Linked DNA regions of Kluyveromyces lactis. The protein of the gene in region 1 purifies or fractionates together with the protein of each later gene. This does not show direct contact. Links are inferred from orthologs where the notes say so. Each region holds a gene or a part of one and is shown in the gene's direction. Other genes may lie near its edges. The genes, in order: RSC58 and RSC9.

What was found.
Region 2: the proteins of RSC58 (region 1) and RSC9 purify together in Saccharomyces cerevisiae (affinity purification with mass spectrometry, with the first as the bait; 5 studies listed by BioGRID). This does not show direct contact. The link is inferred for Kluyveromyces lactis from reciprocal best matches to the Saccharomyces cerevisiae genes RSC58 and RSC9.

The regions. Positions count from the first base shown.
Region 1 is NC_006042.1:1,593,442-1,597,338, reverse strand, and holds RSC58 (Rsc58p), read left to right. Parts: upstream 1-1,574; coding exon 1,575-1,630; intron 1,631-1,849; coding exon 1,850-3,302; downstream 3,303-3,897. Other genes in the region: ATP-dependent RNA helicase ECM16, read left to right, coding at 1-1,258; putative divalent metal ion transporter SMF3, read right to left, coding at 3,631-3,897. UniProt on the Saccharomyces cerevisiae protein: Component of the chromatin structure-remodeling complex (RSC), which is involved in transcription regulation and nucleosome positioning. RSC is responsible for the transfer of a histone octamer from a nucleosome core particle to naked DNA.
Region 2 is NC_006040.1:880,670-884,675, forward strand, and holds RSC9 (Rsc9p), read left to right. Parts: upstream 1-1,479; coding exon 1,480-3,174; downstream 3,175-4,006. Other genes in the region: double-strand break repair enhancer MSC1, read right to left, coding at 1-237; RPM2 (ribonuclease P), read right to left, coding at 3,508-4,006.

The DNA.
Region 1 (3,897 bases):
TTTAAGAATGCCTGTGGAGAGTATAGTTTTGCAAATGAAGAGCATGGCTGTTCATAATATTGTGAATTTTCCATTCCCTACCCCACCCGAAAGACCAGCTTTGATGAAGTCAATAAAGCTCTTACAACACCTAGGTGCACTCGACAGTAATGAAAGAATCACTGATGATGGTAAAGCAATGAGTTTGTTTCCGCTAAGTCCAAGATTTTCTAAAATGCTGCTTGTTGGTAATGAAAGCGACTGTTTGAAATATGTTGTTACCATTGTCAGTGCCCTTTCAGTAGGTGAGCCGTTTTTATCTGAACAAGAGCTTGGTATCATGGATACTGTGCCCAAGACACAAGATGAAGGACAATTAGATGACTATCCTGATCACGAAGCTGAGGAAAGAAAAAGGCTATTGCGCTCCAAGTATGTTAAAAGCAAAATTAGATTTAGTAAGCTTGATAAATTCAGTGATGTTTTCCGTCTTTTAAGTGCAGTATCTGCGTTGGATTTCATTCCAAAGGATCAGCACAGTTCTTTCATGGAAAAAAATTTCTTAAGGGCAAAAACCGTAGAGGAGATTATGAAGTTGAGAAAGCAGGTGATGTTCATCATCAGGTCAGTTACTTCGAGAGAAAATGTAGCTGTAAATGTTAAAGACGAAGACTTGAAGAGCTCGATCCCCACCGATGTTCAAATCAAATTACTCAAGCAAATGATCACAGCAGGATTTATCGACCAGGTGGCCGTTCGCGCAGACCAGTTATTCCCGGAAGACGTTACTATCAACAAAACCAACATTTTCAATATCCCTTATGTTCCAGTCCTTGCTGAGAAAACATCTTCTTTGGATGATATCTTTGTTTATATTCATCCAACCTCAATTCTCAACAATTCTGGCGAGCAACCTCCGAAATACTTGGTTTTCCAATCACTACATGTCAATAAAAATAATGAAAAGGCGAAAACAAGGATGAAGTCTCTTTGTGACATTAAAAGCACGCCATTGGCTAACGTTGCAAGAAAGGGCTCGTTACTCACTTACGGAAAACCAATCACTGGACAAGGTTTGAAACCTATTGATTTATCGCCAACAGAAAGATTCTGCTATGTTGTTCCTAGATTTGGATCTTGCAATGATAGCGACATCAAGATTGGTTGGGAACTCAATCCTATCCCTGTTCATCAAGAGAAAGAGAAAGGTGTATGGACGGTCAAGAAATTCCTTACTCCAAAAGCATTTAAAAACTATCAAGCTTCGAAAAGACCCTAGAACTACACCAGTACAATTTATAGAATTAATTAACTCATATAATACCAATTGCATTGGAATAATTAAAGGCCAATACCTAGCTTGTTAGGCTATGACTGGGTACTGTTGCTGTGACAGGAATCTCTGTAAAAGCTGTCAATGGATGCCAGTTGGATCATGATGTACGGTTTTGATGTTTTTCATAATGAAAACACAGGTTTTGGCGCAGGTTGATCAATAAAGGCTTCTTACATTACTGCTGAATGACAAACTGATGGGCAGTGAGAGAGTACAAGGTCTGCAAACTCTTTTATAGTGGGCTAAAAATAAGTAAACAATGGTAGAGCTGCTAAAAGAGAATTTTTTTCAGAACTTACTAACTGTTTTAAAAGGGTATGTGAATATAAAAACAACACATTTTTCATTCGAATTATGTTGCATTCGCACATGTTTTTGTCTAGAATCGGTGATAATAATAAATTAAAGACCAGCATACGATGACCTGGGGTTCCTCAAGTCTTTATTTTATGTTTTCAGTGTTAGATTTGCCAAAGCATGATTTTATTTTACAATCAAATACTAACAGTATTAATTTTATTTTGATTTAATTAGTGCATCTTCGAAATGCAGAGCTTTAGATGAAAGGTTTCCTAAAGAATTCTACGAGCCTGATCCAACACACATATACGATTCTTACGTGAAGTTTCTAAGGGCCAAGTTTGATGAAAATCCAGATATCAAAATAGCAGAAGATATTGATTCAATTTCCATATCTGATAAATTTGCTAGTGGAGATTACCAGAAGCATGAAGATTCTGTTTATCGGATTTACCATGATATTAAATTAGTATGCTCCATTTTAATTCACTACTACTCTCAAGGAACGAGGTCGTACCAAATGGTCGACAAATTCTACAAATTTGCAGCAGAATTGATTCTAAGGGAATGTTATAGAGTTGGAGCCAAACTGGTGGGAGACTTCGCGGCAGACATTGACTTCAAAGAAAGTGATTTTTCAAAAACCATTTCCAATGATTTCCTTAAAATTAGTCAAGTTTATCAGCTCCCCGTTACTGAAACTTACCATACGCAGACAAAGGAGGGACATTTGTTCAGTTCGGTGATAACGAGGTCAGTACTTGATCAGAGGCCAAAGGAAGTACCATACGAGGAATGTGAAATTGTGAAAATTATTCCTCAAGCAACATCCCAACCAGCCAATAGATTGGGATTCGTAGCAGCTAACACTTCCAATGTTCCTGATCCAACAATTTCTCCTACAGAAATCATGACCTCCTTTCTGCATCCGAATTGGTACCCGCTACCCACTACTAAATGGTTGGAGTATGGCGACTATCAATCTTTTGCTCCGAGTATCTCGGAGTTCAAGTCTGTAACAGATTGTTCCCGTAAAGGAGACATATGGTTGGAAAAGGTCGGATACAAAAGCTGGTTAGAAATAGAATCGAAGAAGAGAGGGGCTGCGGAAGCAGAAGATAAAAATGTTGAAGATGAAAAAATAAAGGATGAGGGTATTGAAGATCAAAAGGTTGAGGAAGCAAATGACAGTATCGGATCTGACAACCAAAAAAAGGAATCAAATGAAAATGATGAAGAGCAGAATGTTGCCACGGATGAAGAGCAAGATACAAATGAGGAGGGAGATGAAGTAATAGTGACAACGGAGCCAGCTGGACCTGTCAATATTAATTTGAAAAATCTTTATGACTGGCAACCTAGCCATGAGATACATGATGAAGATATAACGGCTTTTGAGCAAGGTGAACAGCAAAGGTTATTGACAGAGATATTGCTAAAGCTAAAGGCATGTAAATCGAGAAGGGTCAAGCTGAACAAGATATCAAAACCAACAAGTGAGGAAGTTTCCCTTTATCATAGAGCACAGAACATCTTGAAAGAAGCTCTACTTTCTAAACAGATTGTGACATCTCCAAAATTGCACGAGAAACATTTCCCAGTCCTTCAGACTAATTATGCCGGATCAGTTCCTGTCGTCAAGACCATATCGACTAGAAAAAAGAAAAGTAAGAAAGTTATGCAGTGAAGTAGATATTTCCGTATAGAATCTATAAATCGCAGCTGTGGTAGTGTGCAATAATCTGTGGGGCTAGTTTATTATCAGTGATAGCTAACGGTTACTATTATTTGGAGTTATTTTCTGAAACCATCAGTGTTTCGATTTTTTTACTTCCTCAATTACTTTCGAAGGTAAATGTCCAAGAACAATTAAAGATTATATAAAGAACAAAGAAATTAACCACAACAAAGGTACAAGAGAAGAGATCAACAAAGCAGATCCAATAAGTACAATTTACGAATTGATTATAGATTAAACAGAATCCATCAAAACTATATAAAATGCCTACTTAGACTTAAAAATGCACGTCCGCTCCCATGAGGTATGAAAATACAAGATAACAATTCAATGAACCAATTGTCAACCATATAACAAATGAACTGATGCTCAACAGTCTTCCATTGGTGTAGTCAATGGACTTAACGCCTTTCGATAATAATCTACTTTCTTCAGTACTGTCTGCAGATGCGGGTGCAGAATCCACATCCACAACGGTCATAATTTTATGATTCATAGTGAAGTAAATCAAAGGAGCAGAAACGATTGGTAAAATCAATGAGAG
Region 2 (4,006 bases), on another chromosome or scaffold:
ATCCCTTTCATCCGGCCAGACTTTCCACCACGGTTTTGGTTGCGCATGCTCAGACCATTTCTGACTAGCGTAAGCCTTCAATTCTTCAAGTGAAGTGTCTGCATCCTTTTTAGCAGAGTCACCAGTGTCCTTCAAATATTGAATAATGTCTTGACTAGACCAATTTTCAAATAGATTGTTGCAAATAACTACTTGGCAAGCAGCTGCACAAAATATCAAAGCACTACTAAGCTTCATCCTGCGTATTAATATTGTTATTCTGTGTAATAAGCTATGTCAATAAATCTTATTAATAACAGACACTTTAAATGATATCCTATACAAATATACCTAAGCCTAAAAATGCCAGTTGTTAAGCAAGAGAAAGTGTTCCACGTTTGTTGATATATATATATATATATATATATATATAGAATGGGAATTGCCAGAACAAACTTCTAGTTGACAGTGACAATGCATCACACTAAGTTGTAAAAATCGATGGCCACACTTAGTTCCAAATAATAGCTCTACACACTTATAATAAGGGGTAGGGTGACATGGATATACTCACGCATGGTCTAGCCAAGCTCACAATAGCGTCAGTTATGATGTTCGCTAACCCGTTACCTTTTTCCCTTATTTTTTGGATTCTAAAGACGTCTTTTTGCTAATGTTAAAGAAATGACTTTTGCGGTTTGCTAATGGCAGCAAGAAACGATGCAAAAGGACGACTGTGTCTTAAAATTGCAGATGGCAATGCCACCATTTGTATTGTGCCTTAAGGTAAAAATTCTTCCGGACGCCGTGATGTGTGGAATTTGCTTTGATGTATGTATGAGTAAGTAATCAGATCAGATCACTGAGAGTGATAACTCTGGGGGAGTTAGGGTCTAGGAAACTAATTAGGTAATTAGAATGTGTTTGAATCAGGGCAGAAATGGAAAAGAAGGAAGAGAATCAATGGGTCGTTTGAGTCGATTTGATGTTGAGATTACACTGAATCATCGGTTGATGATCCGTTCCTTAGCGTGGAATTACCACTTTTCGGTCACATGATCAACGTCAATTGCCAGGGAGGTGAATTTAAACTCGTTGTTCCCATAACCATTTGAAAAGGACTTAGGCTGTCACAGAGGGGATAGTCAGTGTTCATAAAGAGGATAAACCTAACTGTCAGAACTATGATTAGAATCACTAAGCAACAGCATATAGTCTTTAATCTGTCCTTGTTACTATGTACGGAGAGCATTTATGTAATCATTTACCCGGATATAAGCCGTATTATTGAACTCGAAATTCAACAACATGCAAAACAACGAAAGATTCGAGATGGACTTCTTAATATGTACAATGACAGAAAAGGAAAACGCGACTAATTAGATGGAGCTTACTTTCTTTGTACCTATATCGGCGATCTAGATACCTTAAACACACCTTCTTTCGGAGACTCGCTTTTTTCTAGTTTTGTGTGATACCTAGTGCTTCACAAATCAATAGATGTCCAGCCATTCAGTCACTCCGGTGATCAATGCTGAAGGAGAAACAGCGATTCCAAGCTTGAAGACATTGCCCGCAACACAATTAAATATTAGCAGAGACCAGACCAATGGTATTACCGCTAAGCCTGTTGCTGGGTTGCAACAATCATTAGGCAGTTTGCCTATCTTCAATCATTTGCCTGTAAACTCTAAGATTGGTGTTGATGATCTCACCCGTATGAAGATGGCATTGTTAAGTGGAATAGACGAAGAAGTTAAATTTGCATTGAAAAGATATTTACGGTATAGCATTAACGCTTCTTATGTTATCAAATTGAATGAGAATTTGGATTTGTTGCCCATTATTATGCCCTTGATTACAGCATGCAGAGAATACATTCCACAGCTTGTTGGCCCAATTTCCAATCAGGCTTTTGAAGCCCTACAAAAAGGTTCAATTACAATGCTTCTTTTGAGAAATTTGGCACAGGACTCGGAAAACACTTCGATATTAGCCACCGATATGGAATTGAAATCGTTCATATTGTTCGTGTTGGAGTGGGCAAATACGTTCAATTCGAAGGATTCGGCAATCTATCAGTCACATACATCCAGTTTCAACGAATTGTTAATCTATACTCTTGATTTAATGGAGGCGATTTCATCTTATATTGCACCAGCAAAAAAAGACGATCTATATTTCCAAAACCTCTGTTTGATATTTCGTGATACAAAGGATAGATACTGCGTGATCTCAATTTTGAGATCATTATCTAGACTCTTGGTGAGATCTAAATCGGACCAAAAGAGTGCAGCAGATAATTTGGATGATAGTTTGTTGAACAAGATTGTTCATAACCTTTTAATTGATAGGGATGAAGAGTTAATAATTGCTTCATTAGATTTCCTTTATCAATATATATTACCTGGTCATCAGAGAATAAAGACATTACTATCACATAAGGAAAGATATGATATCCTAGTTAGTACTCTCCCTGTTCTCCTCACGTATCATGTATCAACCCCTGATTATCATGCCCTTTCGAATACTAATATCAAACTTATACAGAGGGTAAAACCTCAACCACCAGCACACGCGCCTGAATTGCCAATGCCACTGCTCAAGGAATTATTTGAGCTAAACGAACCAATGCGTGCCACTTCCTGGTTGAGATGCTGCTTTGAGAGATCTCTGAATGGCGAAGTAACACAGATTCTTCTATGGAAAACTTATGAACAAACATTCAGCGAACAAGTAAAACTAACAGATCGAAAATTGATAACTGCCGTTGATTTCATTAAAAATGTTTCGAATGCTTTGCCCGGTGCATCCGCTTTGGTAGTTGTAGATGAAGCAACGTCGAAGAAAAAATTTGTAATAAGAGGTATACAGCCTCGCAGAAAAGCTCTTTCAATCGTAGAGGCAAATAAAGATATTGACCAGTCCTCGCCTATACAGACTGAAACCCCGGATGAATTTGAAAGCAACAATACTCCATCGGAAGCAGTTCAAATTTGTTTGCCAGATATTGTTTTCCCCGAGAATCTTTCTGATGTATCTAAAGCAAGTGCGTCATTCCTTTCACTTGTTTCTAACGATAGTACCGAGATCGTGGCACAATTTATTCATGATATGAAACCTTTGATATTACATCAAATTGCTGACGTGCCACCTTTAAATACTGTTCTTTTGGACTTCATACATTCAGGTTGAACTTACCGTTAGGCCGATAGAGTAATTAAAGTTGTAGTTTTGTAATAATTAAATGTATAACGTATCGATTAAAGGTAAAAATTAAACAACGGGAGACCTAACTAATGTATAAAATTGAATTAAAAATGGTGAAACAAAATAAAAAATAGATGATAGCAATTCTGACAATATCAGAATTTTGTATCGAATGGATCAGCGTAAACCCATTTTTGTCATAATAATCGTAAAACTCATCAAATAATAAATAAATAAAACTTTCTTCATGAGACAGATTGTTCATGGAAAGTATGATAGAAGTATAGTAAGAATAAGGTAACATCAGCAGAAAGTTGTTTAGTGCATGGAAGAATCTATAATATCTTTGAAACTCTCCACTTTAGAATGATGATCAGATAAGCCTTCAGATTTGTAAATGGCAGAAATGGAATCTAAAAGTACCATTAGCGAGGTCTTGCTAACGTTAAAAGAACCATTATCATTGAAGTTTATAACCTTTACAGCGTTGTTCAAACATACTGATTCGACGATGTTGTTGAACAAATTGTCAACCAAAATTGGGTTAATTTTTTGCCATATATTGAGCAACTGCAACATTTGGTCTTCGGTGAAAGTTATTGTTTTAAGATAACCCCTGAATCTCATGTAGTTTTCGAGTTTGGAGTAATAGTTCTCTATAATAGAAGTATCATTTAAATCAAGAAATTGCATAGAATCTTCAATATTGTTGAGAATTTGTTGGGTAATTTCCATCTTAATGCCAAAGTTCAACTTCAAGTCTTGTGAAAATTCCTTTCCTTTGGTCATGCTTTCGTAACAGTGAATCATATTGTGG